Regions from separate parts of the Mus musculus genome. Here regions 1, 2 and 3 are each reported to be linked to region 4. Evidence: microRNA targets listed by miRTarBase, many of them from high-throughput screens and not tested one by one. Region 4 holds a microRNA gene; each other region holds the end of a gene's coding sequence.

Region 1 (3,143 bases), not on the chromosome of region 4:
TGTTGGAAGCCAGCGTGGTCTACAATAGAGTTCCAAAATAGCCAGGGCTACAGAGACCCTGTCTCAAAATCCAAACCAAACCAAACCAAACCAAACAAACCCCAAACAACAAAAGATTTACATTGCAGGTGACCTATTTTGTCTTCCTGCTCACTTTTTTTTTTTTTAACTTTAGTTTCAAAGGCCTTTTGCTCTTGTACCCACATTCAACCGCCCACGTGGCTTCGCCTCCTGTAGACCAAGGAAGGGAAGGTGCTGGAAGTCGGTCAGCCCTTGGCCCTGGGTGTCCTTAAGCTTCATTTGCTGGCCACAGCTGGTTTCTTAGAATGTCTGAGTGGAGAGATAAGAGGGATAAAGTGGGATGGAGACTTCAGCCGACAGCCCCAGTCCACTTTGAAACTAACAGTTCTCTCTCCACTCGCCCTAGGGACCTTCGGCAGGGACAGGGAGGAGTCCGGCCAGCCCACGGCAGCTGGCTCCGCCTTTCCTTTGTCTACAACCACTATCTCTTCTTTGCTTGTACCCTGGTGGTGCTTCTGGCCATCGTCCTGTACCTTCTGCGCATCCACAGAATTCACCGCAGACAAACCCGAGCCTCGGCTCCTCTGGACCTGCTGTGGATCGAGCAAGTGGTGCCGATGATTGGGGTCCAGGTGGGGCCGTGAGGCTGGAGCGGAAGTGGAGAACCTCCCATTCCTTCGGATTGCTGCTGCTGCTGCTGCTGACTGAATTCCTCCACTTTCTCGAACTGGCCTCCGATGCTGCTTTGGCCTGCGAATTTCTACTTATTCACTTTGATTTCTTTTTGGTGCCCAGGACGGGACCTCTTCTCAGAAGTCGCAATTTAACTTCGAGGAACTAAATGTCGAGAGGCTGGTGCTAAGCTTAGCCCAAATGAAGCATGCTTCTCCTTTATCTCAGAAATTTGATCTGTTTCTGGGATGTAGCATCCCCCCCCCCCCCCCGCCCCTTGCTGAAGCAAGTTTTTGATTGGGCAACCGGAGGCGTGGTTGAAATCAGCTTGGATTGACTGCTACAAAGCCAGAGACATTCCAGCAAGTGCAGTTGCCCCTGTTTTCTCTGTAACAGAGAGATCCTTATGTGGAAGATCCACAGCCTTGAATAGGGACCTAAGATCTCTGAGGTTCAGTGGACCAGATTTCAAGGCAACCAAAACGATACAACTTCCTTGCTTACTTGACAAGCCATTGTGGATGTGCTCGGAGATTCACCCCCCCCCCCCCCCCGCAGTGTTTCTGATTTTGTTATATAGATCTGAAAGGTTAGAGCGCCTTTGAAATGGATGACTTATTGAAGATCTGACAGTATTTTATCTGATACTTGGTCTGACCAGTATAGAAAACATTTTCATGTCTATGTGCCTCACAAGGCTGCTTGGGCATTAATATTGCCTTTTGAGCCTTAAGTGTGCTTATAGATTGGAGAAACCGTGATGGGAACAGGACCTAGTTTTGCCTGTTTTGGTTACGGCCTCACAGGCATATAGCGTGTAGAAGATTCAAAGTGACTTCCCTCATTTCACTCCTAAGATCTTATATATATATATTGGGAAGGAATGTACTTGTTTTGTTTATAAATTATGTTTTGTTTTAAGAAAGAATAGCATCAGGAGAGTGGGCAAAGGCAATAAAATCCAAGGTTTTGATTTTTGTTTTTGTTTTTTGTTTGTTTGTTTTTTGTTTTGTTTTGTTTAGTTTTTTTGAGACAGGGTCTCTGTAGCTCTGGCTGTCCTGGAGGAATTTGCTCTATAGACCAGGCTGGCCTTGAACTCAAACTCACAGAGACCTGCATCTTCCTCCCGATCACTGGGATTAAAGGCATGAGCCAGCATGCCTGGCTTAAAGTCAAAGATCTTACTTTTTTTTTTTTTTTTTTTTTTTTGAGATGCTCAAAAGACAGCAAATTCTAAACTTTGGAATAACTAGATAAATCTGCCATGGAGCAACCTGGCCACTTTCTGGATGTCTGTCACAAATAGCTCTCCCACTAGCGGGGAGAGGAAAGCCATATTCCCGATGTTCTCACCTACTGCCTCTCAGACGGCCTTCTCTGCAGCCAGCCTTTCATACTGTAGTCCTCCATCGTCAGCTCCTCCCTGCCCCCACCTGGGATTGTTCCCAGGGCCGAAGCAGGAGTTTGATTTCTTCTTTTGGGGAGTAAGGCAGGTCTCCTGAGCCCAGTTTTCTAGGTCGCCAAGGCCAGCCTTGAAGCCCTGATATCCCTGCCTCTGTGTCTTTGTAGCGCTGGCTTCAAGGAGAGCATCACCAACCTGGCTCATTTTCTCTTCATTTTGCCAAAGCCTTTTATCTCTAGTGTTGGAGTTCAGAAGAAAAAAAAAAGAGTCTAAAGGAATAAAAATGAATTTCTTTGATAATAAATTCCTCCTGGGAACAGAAGGAAATGAAATGATTTATGAAATAGAGAAAAAAGTCAAGATGGTCTTAGGGAGGAAGCCAACGTGAGGATGAGTGTGTTGACTTAGCAGTTAGGCAAGGCTGCAATTACCATCATCTCCTCCCTCTTCCTCCCCCTCCTCCCTCTCTCTCCTCGCCCCCTCTCTCTTCTTCCTTCTCCTTTCCCTTTCCTCCCCTTCCCTCTTCTTCCTCCTCCTCCTCCCCCTTCCTCCTTTTCTTCCTTTTCTTCCCCCTCCCTCCCCTCTCCCTCCCCTCCCCCTCCTCTTTTCTTTTCTTTTCTTTTTTTTTTTTTTGAGGCCGAGTGGGTGTCACTAAGTAACTCAGGCTGGCCTGGTTCTCAGTGGTCCTCCTGCCACAGCCTCCTGAGTGCTGTGATTACAGATGTGTGCCACCATGCGTGCACATTAGATACGTGCACACCTAGCAAAGAATTCTTTCATGTCATCTACTTTTCATTAGGGCTGTGAGGTTGACATCTTAGGACTTCTCAGTTGTCTCCCTTCTCCATCATTCTAATTTTTATGTCCTGTGAGTGAGCCTCTGCTTTTTTTTTTTAATGTTGCTATAAAATGCTCTTACCAGCCATTTGCTTCCTCAGGGAACATTTAGCTTCATCTTGGTTTCTATATAGCTGTCTTGGTGTGTTGAGAGATCTAGTCAGAAGTCCCTGGGCAGGTTAACAGTGGCCATGTTCATGGGCTCCAATTG
Region 2 (3,143 bases), not on the chromosome of region 4:
TAGAAGAAATTACAGGGCTATCTTTCGATACATGTCAGTAAAACAATAGGATTCTATTTGCCTAGGAAACGAAGGCATAGGTGAAGAGAAATCCCACAGAATGGGGGAGAATTCATGCCAGCTACACATCTGATAGTATAAAGGACTAAAACCACAACCACCGCCACCACCAAACAACAAAGGCCCATTCAAAGGATGGGCTATGGATCTGAATAGAGTTCTTCTCACAGAAGAAATAAAAATGGCTAAGAAAAACCTCTTCTTTGCAATTACAGAAATGCAAATAAAACAACTTTGAGATTTCATCTTACCCCAGTCAGAATTGCAAAGATCAACAAAACAAGTTCTGGAAGGGATGTAGGGAAAGGGGAACCTTTATTCACTGTTGGTGGGATTGCAAAGTGAGCAGAAATCAGTGTGGAGATTTCTGAAAAAAGGTAAAAATAAATGTACCACTCCTTGCATATGCTCAAAGAATTCTACATCCTGCTCCACAGATACTTACTTGTTCAGCCATGCTCACTGTCACTGTATTCACAATAGCTACAAAACTCAAGCAATCTAAGTGTCTGTTAGCTGAAACCTAGCCAACTACCCAGGGTTAGTGAGGCCATGATCTTACAGGAGAACATATTACTGCTACTTTACTAAACCAACATGGTCCCTAAATACATCCTAAATACTTCTACTCATACATAAGTATAGTGTCTCATTCCTCACCAAAGAAACTTTTCTTTGCAGTAGATGGAAACCAGTAAAGAAAACCCCAAGTACTCAAAGTTCAACAAGCAATGCACTATGGGGTGCCTAGCCCAGATATACCACCAATACAACTCCTGAGCAAGGCTCAGGGAACATCTTGGAAGAAGGCATGGGGAGGTGATAGAAGCTGGAAGACCAGGAGGGATTGTATCTACTAGAAATAACGGTGCAGCTTCAACCATGATTCTTCAACAATATGGCTGCCTAAAGAAGACCAGAATAAAGGCAGCAGCAATAGACATGCTAACACAGAAGGGGAAAGACACTGTTGAGAGGGATCCCAGAGAGGGAGGGAGAGAACGAAGGAACTAGTCCTCTCCAAGGATGAGCCTCTCAACTGGTTATCCAATATCAAGTAGTCAGCCCTGAAAGCATATACATACAAGCAACCCTAAATGAATCCAGCAGGTTGTATGTATGTATGTATGTGAGTGATTATACAACAATAAAAAAAGAGGTCATGAATTTGAGAGGAGGAAGTCATGTAATTGCTTTTGAGATGGCTACTCAGGCAAATCACCATTAAGATTGAACAACCTGAGTTCAATCTCTGGGAATCACATGGTAGGAGGAGAAAACCTACTCCAAAAAGGTGTCCTCTGATCTCCACACAGTAATGTAATATAATCAAATATAAAAATGATATAAACACCACAGTAAGAGTTAATTTAATTTACCTGGACCCTTGGGGACTCTCACAGACTAAACTACCAAACAAAGAGCATGGACCTACACCTCCTGGCACATATGTAGCAAATGTATCGCTTGGTCTTCATGTGGGTCCCCTAACACTGGAGCAGGAGATGTCCCTAAATCAGTTGCCTGCCTGTGGATCCTCTTCCCCTAATTGAGCTGCCCTGTTTGGCCTCAGTGGGAGAGGATGCACCTAGCCAGGATGGAGGGATACCCAAGGCTTCCTCCACTCTCTCAGAGGACAAGAGGAGGGAGGAGGGACTATTTGAGGCAAGGGACTGGGAGGTGGTGTAGTTACTGAGATGTAAAGTAAATGAATAAATAATTATGGGCAACACCTTCGTTCATCTGTGGTACTTCTGTAATCTGGTTAGTTAATAAACAGTCACAGCTTGGCAAATTGAAAAAAAAATTGATGAGGGAAAAAAACTGATCAGAACAAGCATGTTTTGGGGACTGGAAGCAGAGGTAAGGAAGACTTTCTATTCTTATTACATATGTGTATTTCTGTGTTGTTTGGTTTTTTTTTTTTTACAATAAAGAAAATTTTGAGTTAATTAAAAAAATTAGGATAAATTCTTTTAATTTTGAATTTATCTGAGCACAAGAAGGGGGCATGTGAAATGAAAAAACAGGAAGAAGTACAGTCCAGGGACATTCTGATGGCCAGCTTGCAAGAGGCAAAAGACTGGAGTGTCTCTGGAAGCAGTGATAAAAGTCAAGAAAGCCAGCTATGCAGATTTGCCACTTGCCTGTACTGAGCTAACAGGGACGCTGCTAGGAAGAGGTGCATGCAATGCTGTCTATTGCAGTGAGCTGCTATTTCCTGGAGAAACACTTCCCAGGTGGGACAAGGGGGATGTCCCAGAATGCAAGAACCAGAGTCAGAGCTGCAGAGCAAGTTAACTTGAGGTTTGCACTTGGCTTTTGAAATTTTAAACTTATGGCTGGACACAGTTCAGGGGGAGAACACTTGAGCATGAATCAGAAGCTCTCACAGGTAACCAAACAGAGATACAATGCAACTTACCATTCTTGTTAGCTAGCAGCTGGTTCTAAATATCATGGTTAATTTTTCAAGATCTTCGAATTTTAAATGCAATTCTGTCAGCAGGGTGGCTATAAACTGTGTAAAAACCACATTTTTCGGAGAATGCTTCTGAATGCCAAGAATCGGTGTCAATCTGAAACCAATAATAGTAATGTGTATGAAGAAATAAGATGGACCGCAGGACACTCATCTTCACCTTGCAGATAACATTCCTATAGAGAAAGGCTTTACTAAGACAGAAGTCTCAGCCTGAGGGACCAACAAACACTGTCACTGAGAAAAAAACGTCTACACATCTGTGCCTAGTAACATACTTGTTATGCCAGCAAAAACTCTTAGGAGAAAAGTAAATGCAAGTGTGTGTGTGGTCTTTTTTTTTTTTTTTACATCTATATAGAATGTTTGGATTATACCACCCGAGGGGGGAAAAGACAAAAAGCAAGTTTACCATTTGGGATGTAACTTTTTAATTTTAAATTTAAATAAATCATATATCATAAAGTATTTAACACCAATTGCATGTTTTCCTCAAAACACTTCTGATACATTTCTCTAAAGACTGACTAAATGTAATGGAAAATTTAATTCTCATCGAAATGTAATCAGTAAGTAAGATTCTTATTGTATTAGAAAACCT
Region 3 (3,143 bases), not on the chromosome of region 4:
AAAAGAAATGGAATTATTTAAGATGGGTACACTATTTTGTTTTGAATTAAATGATAAAACTCTCTCATATTAACCCCCCCCCCAGGAAACAAGAAAGTTAAAAGTGTGTCATGTACTAATCTTAGGACACAATCCATAGGATGACAGCTGTGTCCTACCTTTGGAGGCGCAAGTGGATTGTACACTGTGCTAACCCTTTTTTAACTGTGTGTAGAGATGCAGAACTCAGAATAGATTAATTAAGAGAATAATGAGAGAAGCAGTAGACAGACAGACACAATGCATGTGTAATCGTTTTAAAACGTGGAATTTACTGAGCTCCTGGTATACCTATGTGGTTTTGGCAAATCACACTAACCTGAGCATTTTCCTTACAAAGACTGATTCTGGACACTTTATGGTTTATTTTCTTTTAAAGGCTCTTCATCTGATTGATGAGATGGATTTGAATAGTGACAAAAAGCTCTCTGAAGAAGAGATTCTGGAAAACCAAGACTTGTTCCTTACCAGCGAAGCCACGGATTATGGCCGACAGCTCCATGACGACTACTTCTATCATGACGAGCTTTAACCCCCGAGTGCGCCCCAGCAGGATGCGGCCTTCTGTAGTTTGCTACCAGCTTGACTTTTATGATGAGATATAGATGTTGTCCTTTACACTCTTAAGTCTTACCACTTCAGATGATCTAAATGTAGATTATAACTTTTGGCCTTTTCAAAGAAAACAAAACAAGAACTTGTCATTTATTTCAAGACATATTGAAGGAGTAAACTATTAATGTTGTGCCATATGACCACACAGTCTTTCCTAAGTACTCCATCTATGTAGTGCTGTGTTGTGGAATGTTGAGCTCTGTTGCCATACTTGAAGACATGGAGGATTTAGACATGTCTAAACAATAGTATTTAAGTAGCACGTGATGAAGCTGTCAGTTTTCGTTCTTGTACTAGTAGACTTACTTTTGAAACTGACAAAGGACAGTGTTTAGATTTAGTGTTTTATCTTAAAGCCTTTAAAGGAACCTTCACAAGGACTTAAACCTCACATAGATGTTGAGAAGTTCTACTTAATTTTAAAATGGTTTCTAAAAAGGGTTTTGTCGTATGAAATAGAACTTTATATTTTTGCATATGTATAGATAGTAATTATATTTAATGTATAACTATAGCATTATGGTGTGTGGAAATTGACATTGTCCAGAACTCTTCACTTTTGATTGATTAAAAATAAACTGTCCTATCTTTTTATATGTTTGGGTTTTTGTTTTTTTTGTTTTATTTTTCCAGATAAATCTTAAATTCAGCATGGGTTTTGTTATATTAAACATTATTCATTCCTTTATTAGATAGTGAATGTTCTCAAGATTGTTAATTATTCTTGGTACATAGTCTTATTTACCTTTTTTTAAAAAAATTAAAAGAATTATGTTATAATTGAACGTGCACCTGAGACATTTTCAATTGCTTTTATGCTGAGTGTGATTTTGCACTTTGGTGCTAACATAATGTTTTTGTTTTGTTTGAGATGCTAGGAATCATCCCCGGGACCTTTCTCTGGCATTCTAGAGAAGTGTTCTGCTACTGAATTGCAAACCCTTTAGCCCCAGAGATAACCTTAAGCCTTGTGGAAGCTGAGAGCCACCTCACTGAGCGCTTATCCACACCCAGACAATTGGATTTCGTCATATTCAAGTATCAGCATGCCTTTGTTAGAGTGGAGGAAAGTAGGTGAGAAATTAACTTTCTGGGCTTGTGACTTAGAGATAGTTCTTTTTTTTTCTTTGCCTTGCATTCCTTTTATTTATAGGCGAAAAGTCAGCTGAGAATTTGTTGGGTTTTTTTCAGGTTACCAATCAGGTGGCACACATAGTGTAGCTCACCAGGCCCTTGTGAGTGTTTGTGAACCGCCTCCACCCCCCACCCCACCCCTGGCTCTTTTCTGACAGAGTTGACTACCAGCTCCTGCCCTGCCTTTGCTGATGTTAAGCTGTAGATGCAAACTGTGAAGTCAGCATTAACTATAGCTGTCTTACCCTAGTAGCTAAGGTTTTCACTCTAACCCACAGCATCACGAGGCTCTAGCAGTGTAAGAATTGAATTACTGTCATCACTCATCTGTCACTGCTCGGCCTCACTGAGATTGTTTAAGGTAGCTACTGTGGTTATCAGGATGTTAACTGATTTTGTTAGTAGATTCTCTAAAGCCCACGTCACAGATGTTAGCCTATCATACAGATTTAACTTTAGTCCTTAGCAGAAATCCTTTCACTTAGTTAAGAAGTTAACATTGTCCATTCAGCATGAATATACAGATACAAAACTTGGTGATTGTTAGGGTTTACCAATATCTGTACTGTTTTCCTTAGCATAAAGGAAACTGGTTTGTAGCCCTCTTAAGGTAGGCAGTGACTGGCTCCAACCAGCTGAGTATAGTAGTCATTGTCACTCCATGACTAGTCAGAGGCAGCCCCTTTCTTCTACGTAGCACTGTGGAGGAGGTTCAGTGGAAACACTAGAGCCACAGAGTTGAATGTCCATGATTGCTTAGTGGCCACATGGAGAACAAATGGACCCACGGTGGAAATAAGCTTTTTATTTACATAGTTTTAATGATACCAGCCTAGAGATAGAGGAATTTTTGCTGTTTTTGAACCACAGCAGGACTCAGCCCATCCTAAGTGAAGATTAGCATTGAAGAAGTAACTTCTATAGGCACTTAAGCAAAAAGGATCTATTAAAACAGAATAGAACTTTTGTTTGTTTTTATTTTTTGAGAGAGTACTCCCAGGTGGGCCTTGAACTTGTCCTCTTGCTTCTCGATACAGTTGCATAGTTCTTGCTGTCCATGCAGTAGAGTAGTCATGACAATCCACACTTACTGTCATCCAAATCCCCTGTTGTACAGTAAGATTCGTTCTTGGTCTTCTATGTAGTATGTATTACAGAAATAGTTTTCATTGGCCTTCAAGATGGTGCTGCAGTGGGGTATAGCAGCACAGGCCTGTAACCCTGCACTGGTTGGTGGAGTGCTTGCCGAGCATACACAAAACATTGGGTTTGATCACTAGCACTACATAAGATTGGGGAGGTAGAGGCCAGAGGATCAGGGATTCAGTTTTTATACTCACTACATAGACAGTTCC
Region 4 (3,143 bases):
AAGTTAGTAGGAAGGTAAATGTGTGCCAGCACATGTGGTAGTATAAAGAAGCAGCAGGCAGGGGCAGGCAGTTCCACCCCCTGGTCGAGTGGTTCTCAACCTTCCTAGTGCTGTGACCCTTTAATATACTTCCTCATGTTGGGTAATCCCCAACTGTAAAATTATTTTCAATGTTACTTCATAACTGTGATTTTGCTACTGTTATAAATCATAATGTAGATATCTGATATGAAATGCCTATGAAAAGGGCTCATGATTTGCAGATGAGAATTGTGTTCTACCTGGAACCCCACAGAAAGCTCTACTGCTGACCACAACCCTGGGTGGAGTTAAGGACTAAGAACAGATTTCACATCTTTTGTTTATTTGTTTGTTTGTTTGGTTGGTTGGTTGGTTTGGTTTTTTTCGAGACAGGGTTTCTCTGTATAGCCCTGGCTGTCCTGGAACTCATTCTGTAGACCAAGCTGGCCTCGAACTCAGAAATCCACCTGCCTCTGCCTCCCAAGTGCTGGGATTAAAGGCGTGCGCCACCACTGCCCCGCTCCAGATTTCATATCTTAAAGCTCACTGGGCAAATGTGTGTGCCAATTTCAGGTTTGCTTTCCTACTGCTAGAACACTGCTGATTCCAAGTCTCTTATTACAAGGATGTGGGTGTGTGTGAATAGCATGGATCTAGGTACCATCTGACACAGTGGGTGTTCTCTACAATAGACAGTCCTATAGCAGGGGTTGGCTGATTAAAAGCCCATCACCGTGCCTCCAAAGCATGCTGGACATGTGTGGGGGTGGCTGTGTCTAACCTGTTAGAAGCAAAGTGGGTGCAACCTACCTGTGATGACCTGGGGTAGAGTTGCCTCGGTGGCTGCCATCTTCCCCAACTTTGGAACACCATATTGGTTGAGAAGTCCTCCTGAGAATGGACAAGATACTGAAGGTTAGAAGCACAGGCAACAGAAATCTGATGTATGGGATGGGTTTTGTCCGTCACTCACTTGTTCATAACTATTAGTGTGTCCTCAGCTGAGGCTGAGGTATGGACCAGAAGGCCTCCATAGTTTGTTCTGATGGGAAGAGAGGTTGACCAAATGTGTTTCAAACACAGAAACCCCTCTTCCACATCCTCAGTTAACAATAACAATGACACCTTCCCAAACTGGACCTTCAGACCTGGCAGGCCTGGGAGGGTTTAGAGGACAAAGGACACCATTCAGAACGATAATCCACTCGCTGGCTTTGTGGAGAACCAGTTATTCCTGTCCCCTGGCTGGATGCTGACAGGACCATCCTTCCCTGAGACTGGGATCTGGACCACGAAGCCTCCAAGATGGGATTTGATACTGAAAAAAAGGTTAGCTGGGTGTGTTTCATTCTCATCAAAGAAACAGAGACCCAGAAAACCTCTCTTCCGGTACCAGAAGCGAACACTGACAAGACTACCTCGGTAATTCCCCAACGTGACCTTCAGACCTGGCAGGCCTGTTGAATGCAGGGTTGCACACTGGATGTTAGTCAAAGTGCTCAAGCAAGCCATTAGTTGATATATATCTGACAGCCATCCCATCACATGCCCCAGTACAGCAGACCTCCATGGCATGATCCTGAAGTTATGTCACAACCAGAGAGCAGTGGCGCAGTAGAGACTGGCTATAGGACTTACCACCATTTTGGGTAACCACAGAAAGGCACAGATGCCCCCAAACCAAAGATGATTCCTCCCACAGATTTAGCATGCAAGTGTGCTAAGGTGACCTGCGACCTGTGCCATATATAAATGGCATACACACACCCTGGTCATGTCTGACAACATGGTACGTTTCTTGAACTTGGATGGCCCCATATCAAGGAAGGGATCCAAGTATAGGACAGCATTGGAAGCCCATCCAATACTACCATAACAGGCACATATGTTGCAAGTACTGAGGATGCTGTCTCCAAGTCTAACAGCGTACAGCTGGCTTATTGCCTCTGTCCCCAAAAGTTGAGATCTCTTCCAGGAAGTTCTCCAAGGGAAGGTTAGATACTGAGGGTTAGTGGACCAGGTCACAAACGGCACAAATATAGCGTGTGCTCTCTGGTCAACCACCTCACGCACCCACACGTGTATCACATGTCGATGCCACTTTCCTGGTCTGCAAGTCACCCTGCCCACGAAGCTGCCAAGCCAGAGAAATTTGCTGAGAAGAAGGCTGCCACACAAGAGTTATTGTCAGACACAAGAAAAGACAAACCCGCTGGCTGGGTTGCGCTAGCACACACATTTAGTGTCCCCACCCCACAGCTGGTGTTAGCTCCAGGAAAGCTCGCAAGGCGGGATTAGATACCGCAAAGAGGTCGACCGTGTAATGTGCGCCATAAATGAAGCGAACGCGCCACGGACCACCTCTCTCCAAGTACCAAGCAGCAGCAGTAGGAAGACCGGGACACTGGCTCTTCCTCAAAGCAGATGTCACCTCCTGGAAGTCTTCCAAGGCGAGATGTGATATTGAGAAGAAGTAGACCATGTGTCCTACGTCATAAATAAAGCGTACACACCATGGTCAACCGCATCTTCAAATACCTTGAGGTAACGCTGGCTGATTCCAGCTCACTTTACTTAATTTGGTGTTACCTCCAAAATGCCTTCTCAATGAGTGTCACAAACTACCAGCAATCGGCATGTGTGGCAATGGCCACAAACTCATGTTTAATGCCACTATGACTTCCAGGATGCCCTGTAAGGCTGGGCTGGGTGCCAAATATTGGCTTTGGATCAAATGGCCAGAGTCGTAGGTAATGAACATGGCCTGTAGCCAAGCACTGGGTAATCTGTGTTGGATAGGGTCTGCCGCCTGAGCCCTACTCTCAATTGGTATGGCTTTCAGAAAGCCCCTGGTGACCGGCTGATGCAGAGATGTGGTGGACCATGCTGTACATGCTGGAATTAACGCACACACTCGACAGTCTACCATCTCCCCAAGTACTGTGCTGAAGCCAGGACAGGATATCTCCCATGAAGTTGGCTCGGTCTCTGGAAAACCCTCACGAATGACTTTGATAACGAGAAGATGTGGACCATACTACATACGACACAGAAGTAGCGCATGTTCTATGGTCAACCATCTTTTCAGGTACCATGGAGAGAGGGTGGTGCAGGAGCTGGCT

What was found. Region 4 holds the annotated microRNA mmu-miR-758-3p (UUUGUGACCUGGUCCACUA, at 2,031-2,049, opposite strand). A microRNA usually pairs through its seed, bases 2 to 8, with sites in the 3' UTR of a target mRNA and lowers its output. Matches are read on the target gene's strand: a 7mer-m8 pairs with bases 2 to 8, a 7mer-A1 pairs with bases 2 to 7 and ends in A, and an 8mer does both.
Region 1: the mRNA of Entpd7 is a reported target of mmu-miR-758-3p. Seed matches in the 3' UTR shown: 8mer at 1,989-1,996.
Region 2: miRTarBase lists Rpap2 as a target of mmu-miR-758-3p. The part of its 3' UTR that is shown has no 7-base or 8-base seed match.
Region 3: the mRNA of Rcn2 is a reported target of mmu-miR-758-3p. The part of its 3' UTR that is shown has no 7-base or 8-base seed match.

The regions. Positions count from the first base shown.
Region 1 is chr19:43,729,271-43,732,413 of GRCm38, forward strand. Entpd7 (ectonucleoside triphosphate diphosphohydrolase 7) reads left to right here. Exons shown (of 13, transcript NM_053103.5): 13 at 428-3,143. The coding sequence ends at 665. Among named protein-coding and RNA genes, the nearest start is that of Cox15, 22 kb to the right of the region's middle.
Region 2 is chr5:107,654,653-107,657,795 of GRCm38, reverse strand. Rpap2 (RNA polymerase II associated protein 2) reads right to left here. Exons shown (of 13, transcript NM_144911.3): 12 at 2,486-2,639. The coding sequence ends at 2,498. Among named protein-coding and RNA genes, the nearest start is that of A930041C12Rik, 22 kb to the right of the region's middle.
Region 3 is chr9:56,057,641-56,060,783 of GRCm38, forward strand. Rcn2 (reticulocalbin 2) reads left to right here. Exons shown (of 7, transcript NM_011992.2): 7 at 419-1,443. The coding sequence ends at 571. Among named protein-coding and RNA genes, the nearest start is that of Rcn2, 17 kb to the left of the region's middle.
Region 4 is chr12:109,711,764-109,714,906 of GRCm38, reverse strand. Mir758 (microRNA 758) reads right to left here and starts at 2,097; the gene lies at 2,017-2,097. Mir380 (microRNA 380) reads right to left here and starts at 3,104; the gene lies at 3,044-3,104. Mir1197 (microRNA 1197) reads right to left here and starts at 2,590; the gene lies at 2,471-2,590. It overlaps Mir323 (microRNA 323), which reads right to left and starts at 2,399; the gene lies at 2,314-2,399. It also overlaps Mir329.